Linked DNA regions of Neurospora crassa OR74A. The protein of the gene in region 2 binds, or shares a complex with, the protein of the main gene of each other region. Links are inferred from orthologs where the notes say so. Each region holds a gene or a part of one and is shown on either strand. Other genes may lie near its edges.

Region 1 (4,225 bases), on a different chromosome or scaffold from region 2:
CAGCAATTTCCCAAGACCCAAAAAAAGAACCTGAAACATGCAACTGAATACGTAACATACAACTAGAATACATACCTGCTGCAAGTTGGGAGACATCAACTCATCGGGAAGCTTCGTGTTCTCGTCCTGAGACTGCGAGAAACTCCTGGAAGCCGAAGCACGGCGCTCGTTGGGCGAGCCGGTGGATGCTGCGACGGCAGACATGGTCGTCTGCTGAGGGCTGGATGTTGAATGACCTAGCCTGAGGGGATTGGAGGGATGCTTTGGGTGCTGGTGTTTCACAATGGGAGGAGATGCTCAAGATGGTGATAGAGAAAAGCAGTAGATTTGGTTCCAATGGCGACGAAAGACACAGATAAATAGAAGCTTGGGGGCGAGATGACCACAAACCGCTTTTGAGAGAACACGGTTGGTGATGGCACCGACAAGAAGATGCAGAAAGAGAAGAAGCCTTAGAAATATGTGTTGATATAATGGGGAAAAGAGAAAGAGCTCCAAGAGCTGGTCTGGGACGGAAGAAAGAGTGTAAATGTGCCCGAGATACCCGTACTTTCAGCTACAGTTGCCCTGAAGTTGGACCTTCTCGCAAGGCAACAGCAACAAACCTCTTGGTGACGATGGACGCACCGGTCAGAATAGGGCTAGAGGTAGGTAGGTACCTCTAGGGTAGGTATGAGCCCGGGATGACCGAGACTAAAGTCGAAATGGTGGACCCTTGGCTCCCGAGGGAGGAAGGCACGATGGAACTGTGACCGGGACTGCCCAGGTGTCACTGCCCGGACACTCCAAGCAAAAAGGGGTTCACGATGCCTGTGAGATAATCCGCAATCTCTGTGATCAAAGCTCACTTGGGCTGCCATCAGATGATCTGACGAGTGAACGCACATCGGCTCGTCCATCCGAAGATCGGAATCGAATATGATGAGTCGCTGGGGAAGTTGCGACCGGTATTCCAGCTAACGATCATCGGCCTTTGGCGTCGTGCCTCCCGTCCTTGTGCCTAGCGGGATCCTTATCACCAAGCCGAAGTTTTTCACGTGTCGCGGGGACGTCGGGCATGATGGTCAACCGAGCCAGCGATGAGACATCCTGCCGCGTTAAGGACCTTGCTGTCCGGCTGCCACTTCCCATACGATCAACGGGTTTCTGGGTTAGGCGTCCGAGCCCCAATGACATATTCCGAGTTCATTAGGCGGTATTCATACCTAGGTGTTCATGTCACCTGCCATTCGGTGTGATCTACCATTCTTCGTCGGAATGAAAATGAGTAGAGTAGGTAGGGAAGCATGCAACGTCTGGAAGCTTCAACAAGACAGCACCATCACCTAGCATCGTGGACATTAACAGATAGGAGTGGCGGGTCGGCTTTTCTCGTCCGGTAGGGCTGGGATGCCAAGGTCTTTGCAAATTATGGTAGGTGTGATTAGCTTCCTTTCCTATCCATTTTTATTTTGGAAAAGGCTTGAAATGGAGCAGGAAGAGCCAGCGCACCTTTTCACATTCATGGCGTTCTTTGACATGGACGGCTTGTGCAAAGATCTTGGGTGATCCGACACTCGCTTGTTGTTTTCACCCAAATGATCAAAGCTGTTCGTAAAGAGGGACAATGGCGAAGGGTCATATCCTCCCTCAAGCCCATCCGCGCTATGGAATCAAGATACGGTATCTTCAGCTTATCAACAGGCGCTTCTTTGTTCGATGCATCAAGAGACTTGTGTAGACGCATGGGAGGACAGTCCCGAGATGAACCTTTGACAAAGCTGGTAACCACAAACCTGCTTGTCGAACTAGGCGGCTATTCAACACCATTTGAAGGGGCAAGTGCCGCGGGCGTCGCTAACCATATGTACAGTTGTGGCAGCACCTCGTCACGGGGAGACTGTGATGGCATCAAGTACTGAGCGGAAAAATGCATGTCGAAATGGACCAACTGCCGGAGGAACGCCAGGTATTCGGGGTATATGATTCTAGTCCGCCCACTATATGATACATGTACACGTCGTGTAGTTCTGATTTCGGGACGCCGTGTCTTATTTCTTCTTCTTCGCATCTGTCGCAGAATATGAACGTTAGAGATTTGAACCGTGAGTAAGAGGTGCAGACGAAACCCACCGGCCGCCGAGGGTGCCGTTCTCTTCTTCTTGGGCGCTCCCTTGTCGCGGGCTCTCAGACTGTAAGGTATGGTTAGATTGTGATGTTTGCAAGTAAACACTAGCAGGAATGAGAGAGACGAACGCTGCCAAGTGCTCCAAACGATCATCATCGACCTCATCGTCAACCTCGAGACCAAGAGTACCGAACTCCTTTTGAAGCTCGCGAATACCGACGTTCTTGCGGGGGTAGTAGGTCGCAAGTGCCGGGCCCTTGAGTCGCTGACGCAGGATCTTGTTACCGGTCCGGATGCCTTCGGGATTGAAAGTCGTCGAGAAGAGCTCGCAACGAGCCTAGGTATAACCTAGTTAGCGAACTGGTTTTTCCCCTCATTCGGAACTGTTCCATACCTTCACAAGTTGCAGTAACCGCGCCCGTGGGACCGACATCTTGCCGTTACATGGAATTGCGGATTCGCGAATTCTAGAAACAGCAACAACAAGAGCCGCCGGATTGTTCGACGTCGTTCAGAGATCTCCCGCTCCAGCCCGTCAAGCAATGCGCCACCAATCATAACCATTCATGGGTACAAAGAGTGGGGCACGGACTGCAACCGTTGTTTTCGAGCCGCAGTGTCCCCGGGCCGTCAGCGCAAGCCCGCTGATGAAGCCGAGGGCGGCGCGTTCCAGGGCTGACAGGCGCTAAGAATGACAGCTACGGGCCATAACAGGGCAGCAGCAGCGCCCTGATGTGGATCTGGGGTCGAACAGGGGGTTAGGGTTTCCACTACGCAATGGCCCGGGATTCGTTCTCATCTTGAAGAATCCGTTTTCGATTCTGCCTCTACAATTTCATCGCCGCATCAACGCGCGATCTGAGGCATTCGGATTGCTTGTAGGAAAGTACAATCTTGCCATGCCGAAACACGGACCCACCCCGGAGGAGGTATCAGAACCGCCCTCCAAGCGTGCGAAGTCAGACTCTGCACCATCCGCATCACAAGGCGCTACATTGGAGTCCGCAACCTCCGTCCAAATTCCTTCTTTGCATGCCAATACCAAATGGACACTCGCTACCATCCAGAGAATGCGGCCACCGCTCCCCGACATTCTGGACCCGGCACTCAAAAAGGCGGCGCTCACACACCCTGGTAAAGCTAACAACGACCCTGTTGCAAGTTATGAGAGGCTGGAGTGGATTGGCGACGCTTATCTTGAGCTCATCGCCTCCTCCTTCATATATCAAACTTTCCCGACCTTGCCGGCTGGCAAAAGCGCACAACGTCGCGAGATGCTTATCCGCAACACCACACTAGGCGAATTCTCGGTCTATTACGGCTTGGACAAGATGGCCGATATCCCGGAAGAATTCAACATGGAGGGCAGAGTGGGCGGTACAAACGCAAGTCAAAAAGTCAGAATTAAGATTCTCGGAGACCTTTTCGAAGCCTATGTAGGAGGCGTGATTCTTTCTGATCCTGCCAATGGGATTCAGCGTGCTTCAGACTGGCTCAAGGCCCTATGGGGCCCTCTCATGGCGGAGTACATCCGCGAGGAAGAGAAGAAGGCCAGGAAGCCGGAGCAAAAGCAATCCGCAAGTGGCCAGACACTCGACCCAAAGACAGTACTCGAAGCTACCATTGGAGCCAGGGGTGTCAAGATCGAGTATAAAGATCTCCCTTCCAAAAACCTGAAGGACAGGGGAACCAAGCTGCCTCTTTTCGCTATTGGCTGTTTTATGACAGGCTGGGGGGAGACCAACCTGCAACTTGGGCACGGAAGTGCTTTGAGCAAGAAGGAAGCTGGTCAGAAAGCAGCTCAAATGGCCTTGGATAACAAGAAGCTGCTCAAGAAGTTTGCGGACAAGAAGGCGGAGATGAAGGCCGCGCGGGAAGCCCAGCTGCAGCAGGCAGGAGTGACGTTCCCCTTGAAGGATCAGCCTTCGGCACAGGAAACCACTGGCGGCGTGCTGTAGCGACCAAGTACTGTTCGGTCTCATATGCCCCTGATCTTTAATACTTCGACACACCAACCATCACATGCCCGTAGTCTCGTGGTTTACCTCGGGCGTCGGCCATGAGAAGGACGCATAGCAGATGAATTAGGCCATTCATTACTACGGGTAAACGACCCGG
Region 2 (3,526 bases):
TCGGTATCGTGCCGAGGTGGTGGTCCTGGCTCGTTGTGGACATCGCACTGGTGCGGAGGGAGCACACGTCGGATGCCATTGACGAATTGCAGAGCATCTTGATGGTTGTGAAAGTAAATGTCGAGCGAGTGAAGCTTGTAATGGTACTTGGCCTGATTGTGAGGGTCGTATGTTGGTAGATGCCACTCCTCGTAGCCCTCGACCTCGCCAACCGTCAAAGTTACAAGGCAGGTGTGGTTGTAATCGTACTCGAGATGGGTTTTGTCGAGGTCTGGCGACACATGATGTTAGCCTTCCCACTGTCGTCTCGAGCTCTCACTCTAAATCCTAATGCTTACAGCCATCGAAAGCATCCTGGTCTTCCCTTCCAGGTTGGTTCGCAATCTCCAGCCGTGCGCGGCCCAAGTTGGCATCTTCGAAAAGGTATACATAGGAGCCCTTGTCGAACCTGTGATGAGGCGGGTTATTTGTTGGAGGGCCGTAGAAGTAGTGAATATCACCAAAGCTATGCAGCGAATCAATCAGTCAGAATGCGCCCAGGAACTATCACCTCTTTATGGGATCAACGGAAGACAAACTTACAACGTGCCGACGTTCTCCTCTCCCTCACGGGCGGCCATCTTTTGTGATCAACGAACTCGCTTGAGTGAACAAACACAACAACACAACAACGGTAAAAAGGATTGAGAGAACTGAAAGACAGCAAACTTTCTCAGCTTCCCACCCGAGGGCTATCACGCCTAATATCAGAGATGACGGAACCCAAAGAAAACAAAAGCCACTCGGCTTCCGCGTCTTTGCGATAGTACCCTACCTCTTACATACCCTTGCAGGAGACCGTGGTCTGGTTCTTCACATTCGGCTCTCACTCCATGGCGCAATCAGCACACAGCCATCCAACCAGCGCGCACGATAGGTCGGTGATGCGACCCCTAGTGCCGGTAGAGGTGACCTTGCCTGGTGGTTGCATCGTCCTGGATGGTCACTGGATGGTCCGCCTGGGCGCTTAAGGTGGGATGCCAAGAAAGAAGCACGAGCAAGTCAATTGTCACACTCTCCAGTCCTTCTTTCACAATTGACGAGGAGGGAAAGGAGCGGGAGGGAAAGACAAGAAAAAAGGTGGGGTAAGCAGGATCCATCCTCAATAAACCTGGAGAGCTACCAAGAAAGCCCCACCGGACAGACACCTTCTGGTCTCTCTGGCGGAGGGACGGGAGGCCTTTCAGGGCAGCAGGGGTCTCTTTTGCAGTGACTTTCGTGCAAGGCACAGTGGAGGTCATTGCCCGAGGTCATTCACTCTTTCAACGCTCAGCCTGAGGTCTTTTCTCGAACCATCCCTGTCCGTCCTCCACACGGCCCCGGCGGCCAAGCAAACGCACGCACGCCCGCCAGCCCGTACGTAGTGCCGTACGGCAGAAGCGGACAGAGCAGCAGGGGGACAAAAAATCGGCAGCACAACTTACCTAACGGAGCCATCCCGATCGAGACCTCGAAACCGCAATTCGCATCCGGACCCCGTTGCGCGCCGCATTCGCGAGTCCCGAAACCTCCACTTGTTTTTACGGCTCCTCCGAAGTCCGAATTCCTCCATCACGACCACCGACCCGTGACGGCCACCCGACTGTGCGCAACAGCTACGGTCTCCCGATTGGTTGTGCGTTGCAATCTTCCTTTTTTTTTTTTTTTTTTTCTGTCCCGCGAATCTTCATCGGCACGCCTAGACTAACCTCAAGACGCCCCGTCGCTGCAGCACCGATTCCTCACCCGCATCATCCTTCTCTTCATCCCGCATCATCCTTCTCTTCATCCCGCAAGGTCCCCAGTTCGCCGCCGCATCTCCCGAGCACTTCTACACCGGACGGACCAAGCCATACCAGCCGATCGACCCGACGACTTACGCGACGACGGCCGACTTCTCTCTCTTTATAACCCATCACCCAGTGCATACCATTTTCTCTCTCTCTCTTCAGCAACACAAAAGTCCCACACGGGCATCATCAAACCTTCAAAATGGGCATTCAACAAATCACCAACATGTGCTCGCACCTCCAAAACGCCTCGCGCGCTCGCCTGGGCCTGACCTCCCTGCCCAACACCAAGTACAACCTCGCCCTGGCCCTGGCCCTGCACCGCGCAGGCTTCATCTCCTCCATCACGCGGGGCGGTCCTCACCCGCCCACGCCCGAGGCCCTCATGACCTACGAGCCCGAGCCCGTGACCAGTGCCAACGTGGCCACGCGCCGGTTGTGGGTGGGACTCAAGTACTGGAACGAGGAACCCGTCTTGAAGGAGCTGAAGCCGATTTCGAAGCCGTCGAGGCTGGTGACTGCCTCCCTGGAACAGCTGAACCGTGTGGCGAGGGGCTTTCCCGCGGGATACATGAAGGGGTTGCAGTTGGGCGAGTGTTTGTTTGTGAACACTGATAGAGGTGTGTTGGAGGTTAGGGAGGCAGTGGAGAGGAAAGTTGGTGGGCTGGTTTTGTGCAAGGTAAAATAGATGGGTAGAAGAAGAAGAAGGAGGAGGGTCTCAAGGATGGACGGTGGGGATAGGACATGAATTCGGTGAAAGGAAGGCATTGTTGGGAAGGAAGCGAGAGGAATAGAAGAAGAGGAGGAAGAGTCACCGCACTTTGGGAGGATCTCAAACCTGAACTGGAGCCAACCATTTCTGTGCGCAGTGTACGATACGGATGTGATTCCATTGTACACTAGACGACTTAGCAAGACTGGACAAACATGGAAAGGAATAGACATTGGCAAAGCAGAGCTCATCCTTGGTTCTTGCTATGTGAATATGAGGTATGAGGCCAAGAAAGACAACGAGCTGGCATCCTGTATGCTATGATCTATGCATGACAACTAAATCATCAGCACTCACCGTGGAAACAGATATCACCAAGATTGATAAGAAAAGGGATCGATTCATCCTGCTCCAGGGTGCTGTACAACCCACTATCTGCTATGCATTCATACTTCATGCTTCGCCAACTTTCTTACAAATGTGTGATTGGTCTTTCTACAAAGGTATCATGAAATGTGCTAACCCAGTAACACTGCATCCCCCTCTTTCACTGTCTCGAACAAGTAATAGGGGTGATTAAAAAAGACTCTACAGGCCAAAAAGCGATCACATCCACCATTTCTGGCTTCCTTTTACGAATCAGAAGTGTGCTTAAATTCCGAAGTGCTGGCAGACTTCTCCTCGCCGTGCTCCTAGATGTCAGCATCGGTGGTATCAACAACCTCGGCAGCGGACGAGGGGGCGGCTTCAGTCTCCTGGGCTGGCATCTCCTCCTTAACAACATGAACGTCAGAAGTGGGGGTTTGGGGAGCTTCCGTGGCTTCCTCTACCGGCTGAGCAACTTCTTGAGGAGTCTCCGTCACAGTGGGGAGGGGCACCTCAACAGCTTCTTCTGCCTTGGGAACCGGCTCAGCCTTGGCCGCAGCTGAACCAGCACGAGACTGTTTCGGTGTCGTAGCCGCAGATGGTGCTGCAGATTTAGTGGCAGGTTTTTTGGTCCGTGGCT
Region 3 (3,738 bases), on a different chromosome or scaffold from region 2:
CAGCCAGAATAGGACGGTGCTGACGATGGAGGATTTGGGCATGGCGGCAGGGGAGTTTGGGGTTAATGTGAAGAGGAGCGAGTTTTATCGCTAGGGGGGCAGTCACGGTCACGGTGCAGGACTGTCTGCTCTACTGATGAGAAGGGATGGGGAAACGGTGGGTGGTTTGCCTGAGTGTGAGCGGAATGGTGGCATGGCAGACCAAAGGATGATACTATCTTAAAGGGGCGGCAACAAGTGGTTACTTGCTCAAGGAGGAGGATATCAAGAGGATGATGCATCGATGGATGGATGGATGGGCAAAGGGTCGGCAATCAAGGGTCCAACACGGGAACGGTGCAAAAGGGGTTTGGGGTCATCGGGTCTTCTTTTCTTTTTCCTTTTTTTTTTTCCTTTTTTTTTTTTTTTTTTTTTTTTTTTTGCGCTTGGCGTTCAGGAGGCGCCGTTATGGAAGATTGCCATCGTCCTGTTTGCTCTCAGTGAACCCGTTATGACTACTAGTCTAGGCTAAAAATAATAATACCTGGCGATACTAGCATATTTTTATCAATTACAAAGCATAATTAAACTACACACTACACAACATATACATGTTCATCTTGAAACAACAGACACAGCACAGTAGTATGAATCCAAGCGAAAGTTCTAATTTGCCCCAAAATATGATATGTGTACAGAAACCTGTGCCCTCCTCTGACAATGGTATGGTATGATACAGATAAGCAACGAAAATATGCTTTTTTGTTTTTTGCCGAAATAAACGCCGCCCACAGAAAAAACGTGTCAAACCCGCATCCATCAATCAATCGACTTCTTCTTCTCTTTTCTTCTTCTTCTTCATCATCATCACTGAAGAGACGAACGAAGTTTGGTTTGTCTATTTCTTCTTACCCCAGATGAAGGGCTTGCGTGTACTGTTTGAGGTTTTGAACCATTCAGTTAGTGTCGGTCCAATTGTTCATGTCCATATGCCCAATGTGTGTCTTTTGTGTTGTTTGTTTTCTGCTGACCACACTGCACCACCGCCTACGATCATCATCATCCCGTGGTGGCGTCCAACACATGTCGCCCGTCCAGCCATTCATGGCTTGCCACCAGCCAATGCCATGGCCATGCCGTGTCAGACCATTGAATTTTGTGTAGGAAAATTCTTTTTTTTTTTTTTTCTTTTCCCACACCGCCAACATTTATGGCATTTCCGCCGCCATCTTAAAAAAAAAAAAAAAAGGAAAAAAAAAAGACCCTTTAAAAAAATAATATATTGAAATTGAAAAATAATAGTCAAAGAAGGAAAAGAAAGGAAAAAAGTAGACTAGTGAAAGTAGGGGAAGAAAGAACCAAAAAAAAAAAAAAAGAAAGAAAGAAAGAGCACTTACGCAGAAAACTCTCCAAGCTTATGCCCCACCATCTCCTCGGTGACAGTCAAGTCAATGTAGTCCTTGCCGTTGTGTACCTGGAACTTGAGGCCGACAAAGTTGGGCAGGATGGTGGCGGACCGGGCCTGGGTGCGGATGGGAGCGATCTTCTTGCCGGGCTCGGGGCGCTGGATGGGGAGACTGTTTTGTGTGTATGCGTTGGTGGTTAGTGCCCGTTTGCGCTCAAGATAGGTGACTATGCTTGTAGCGTTGCGGTTGGATTCGGTTGGACTGCGTTGGTTCGCGGATGGAGGGGAATGTCGCGGGATGGGCTCGTAGAGAATGATGGACATGCGCCGGCAGCTTTGATCGGGAGCAGGGAGGAGAGAGAGTCCTCGGGAGTGCGCCGGCGCATTGAATTGTCGTCGTCGTCGTCGTCGTCGTCGTCGTCGTCATTGAGATCGCGGGGACAGAAACGAGGGGAAGGGGTAGTAGAGCTTACGGGACAATGTGCGGACCTGGAGTCGGCGATGCGGGTTAGCTTGACTGTCTTGGACGGCGCAAAGAGTACATTATCGCAAGGTGAAGCTTAGGAGGAGACAAAACAAAATAACTTACCCTTCCACACGGATCTCTTGAAAAGAACCCTTGTTGGCTGCATGTTGGGCGCGAACGAGAAGGAATTCGGTGGTGATGGGTGGTGGCTGCAAATAGCGGGAAGAGGCCGGGCGCGTACGCGACACTCGGATGGTCTTGAGATCAATCGGTCGGTCGGTCGGTCGGTCGGTCGGTCGGTCAGTCAGTCGGCGAGTCCGGCAGGCGGGCGGGCGGAGCGGTTCCAGGTATCACGGCGACGGCGGCAGTGACGGGAGCGCTGACCACGGCCGAATTTTGGAACTGCCAAGCTTATCGGTTGCCGGCCGGCATACCTAGTACGGACGCCCCCGCTGACTCTCCCCCCTGGCTACCTATGTACGCAGTAGGTACTTCTACAGGGTTAGGGGGCATTCATCAAAGCGATTATCGATACAGCAAAAACCCCTGCACGGGTAACCCTGTCTATCGATATCTAAAAGCAACGCCCCCATAATTACACTACGATGATAACCCTCTAAACACCTCTTTTTGTCAAGGTAACCTACCGTCAATATACAGATGGATGTCAACCCTGCAGTGGAGAGGTACGGAAATCTTCAGTCAAACGGCACTTGCTTAGTGAGCAGAGAAAGCGGGGTCTACCTGATGGCAAAGATCAATTAGCATCCAATTTGTGTTATCGTGCATTTCTTGGGTGCGCAAGAAGAAGAAAATCTATGCACGATACTGCTGAATCTAATGCTATGGTGGTGTGACTCGTGCACCACACCCTACAGGTACCTACCCCTGTACTGGCAAGCCCCCCTGCTCGAGCAGCACTTGGGGCCGAAATCTTGGTGTTACTCGAACTAGGATACAGCAAGTATTATATGACTTACATACCGTTTAGCAAACCGGCGGCACTGGTTGGCACTCTCAGACACTTGCTGCCCGTGCTGCCGTCAATTGGTTCAGGACTAACGCGACTGCGATACTCCAAAACATAGCATCCCGGATTCCGGACTATTGGCATTCTTGGTGGTGGCCGATAACCGGCGTGCGTCCGTCGATTCCTGACTGCAGCTCAGTGGTTCACATCGATCGTGCACTCCGTCTTCTTCAGTGTTGCTCCTTCCTCAGCATTTCAAGTTCCATACACCTCGCCACCACTACAGTATGTATGATGTTTGTACATCAATGTAGGACGTAGTGTAGGTAGTTTAAGGCAGGCGTGAACTGCCGTGCTGTGCCTTGCCTTGCCTTGCCTGGGCATGGACTGGGCCGTCATGGATTCTTCGTCTAGGCAAGAGCGCCACCGCAGTCAATATATCTATCTGGCCGTGGTTTCCCGTTCGCGTTCACAACGACCTTCTTTTTGGATTTCACCATCCGTCACTCTTTTTTTTTTGTTTTGCGCATTTGTGGGTGTGCTTGCATCGTCGATGCCCTCAGACGAATGCCCCCCCTCCCTCTGGTCGGTCTGATCAACATTTGATCGGTTCACCAGTCTGCGCGCAAAGTCCGAGAAGGGCACCGCATTCGTTCTTCCCGCGAGCCACCTGAGAACAGGGCTGCATTTGTTTACTATCCAGCCAGCCATGGAGTTCCAACTTCCATCATCATCATCATCATCATCAAGCAGCTCGACTGCTGCGCAATTGTTTGCACTAGCTACCCATCAAGATCAACCGTTCCCGGAATAAACTAGTAGGGAGCACTTCCCGTCCCTGGGTGTCTGAGTGTGCCTTGATCAACTTGTCGGACTACCGCAAATGCGGACGAGTGCCTGAGTATCAGTGTTACCCGT

What was found. Proteins that work in one complex are often made in the same cells at the same time.
Region 1: NCU02951 (region 2) and NCU01761 share a complex: the UniProt entries of both Saccharomyces cerevisiae proteins name them as parts of the mitochondrial small ribosomal subunit. The link is inferred for Neurospora crassa OR74A from reciprocal best matches to the Saccharomyces cerevisiae genes MRPS8 and RSM27.
Region 3: NCU02951 (region 2) and NCU08728 share a complex: the UniProt entries of both Saccharomyces cerevisiae proteins name them as parts of the mitochondrial small ribosomal subunit. The link is inferred for Neurospora crassa OR74A from reciprocal best matches to the Saccharomyces cerevisiae genes MRPS8 and RSM19.

The regions. Positions count from the first base shown.
Region 1 is NC_026502.1:2,520,273-2,524,497, reverse strand, and holds NCU01761 (hypothetical protein), read right to left. Parts: upstream 2,745-4,225; 5' UTR 2,541-2,744; coding exon 2,502-2,540; intron 2,445-2,501; coding exon 2,236-2,444; intron 2,172-2,235; coding exon 2,113-2,171; intron 2,051-2,112; coding exon 2,031-2,050; 3' UTR 1,492-2,030; intron 1,400-1,491; 3' UTR 626-1,399; downstream 1-625. Other genes in the region: NCU01760 (pumilio-family RNA binding repeat protein), read right to left, coding at 76-204; NCU01762 (nucleolar RNAse III), read left to right, coding at 3,007-4,065. UniProt on the Saccharomyces cerevisiae protein: Component of the mitochondrial ribosome (mitoribosome), a dedicated translation machinery responsible for the synthesis of mitochondrial genome-encoded proteins, including at least some of the essential transmembrane subunits of the mitochondrial respiratory chain.
Region 2 is NC_026501.1:8,605,726-8,609,251, reverse strand, and holds NCU02951 (mitochondrial 37S ribosomal protein MRPS8), read left to right. Parts: upstream 1-1,219; 5' UTR 1,220-1,654; intron 1,655-1,750; 5' UTR 1,751-2,010; coding exon 2,011-2,496; 3' UTR 2,497-2,949; downstream 2,950-3,526. Other genes in the region: NCU02950 (hypothetical protein), read right to left, coding at 1-271, 339-505, 583-620; NCU02952 (hypothetical protein), read right to left, coding at 3,213-3,526. UniProt on the Saccharomyces cerevisiae protein: Component of the mitochondrial ribosome (mitoribosome), a dedicated translation machinery responsible for the synthesis of mitochondrial genome-encoded proteins, including at least some of the essential transmembrane subunits of the mitochondrial respiratory chain.
Region 3 is NC_026502.1:3,811,349-3,815,086, reverse strand, and holds NCU08728 (mitochondrial 37S ribosomal protein RSM19), read right to left. Parts: upstream 2,396-3,738; 5' UTR 2,017-2,395; coding exon 1,974-2,016; intron 1,874-1,973; coding exon 1,858-1,873; intron 1,557-1,857; coding exon 1,377-1,556; intron 915-1,376; coding exon 878-914; 3' UTR 626-877; downstream 1-625. Other genes in the region: NCU08729 (transcription initiation factor TFIID 23-30kDa subunit), read left to right, coding at 1-94. UniProt on the Saccharomyces cerevisiae protein: Component of the mitochondrial ribosome (mitoribosome), a dedicated translation machinery responsible for the synthesis of mitochondrial genome-encoded proteins, including at least some of the essential transmembrane subunits of the mitochondrial respiratory chain.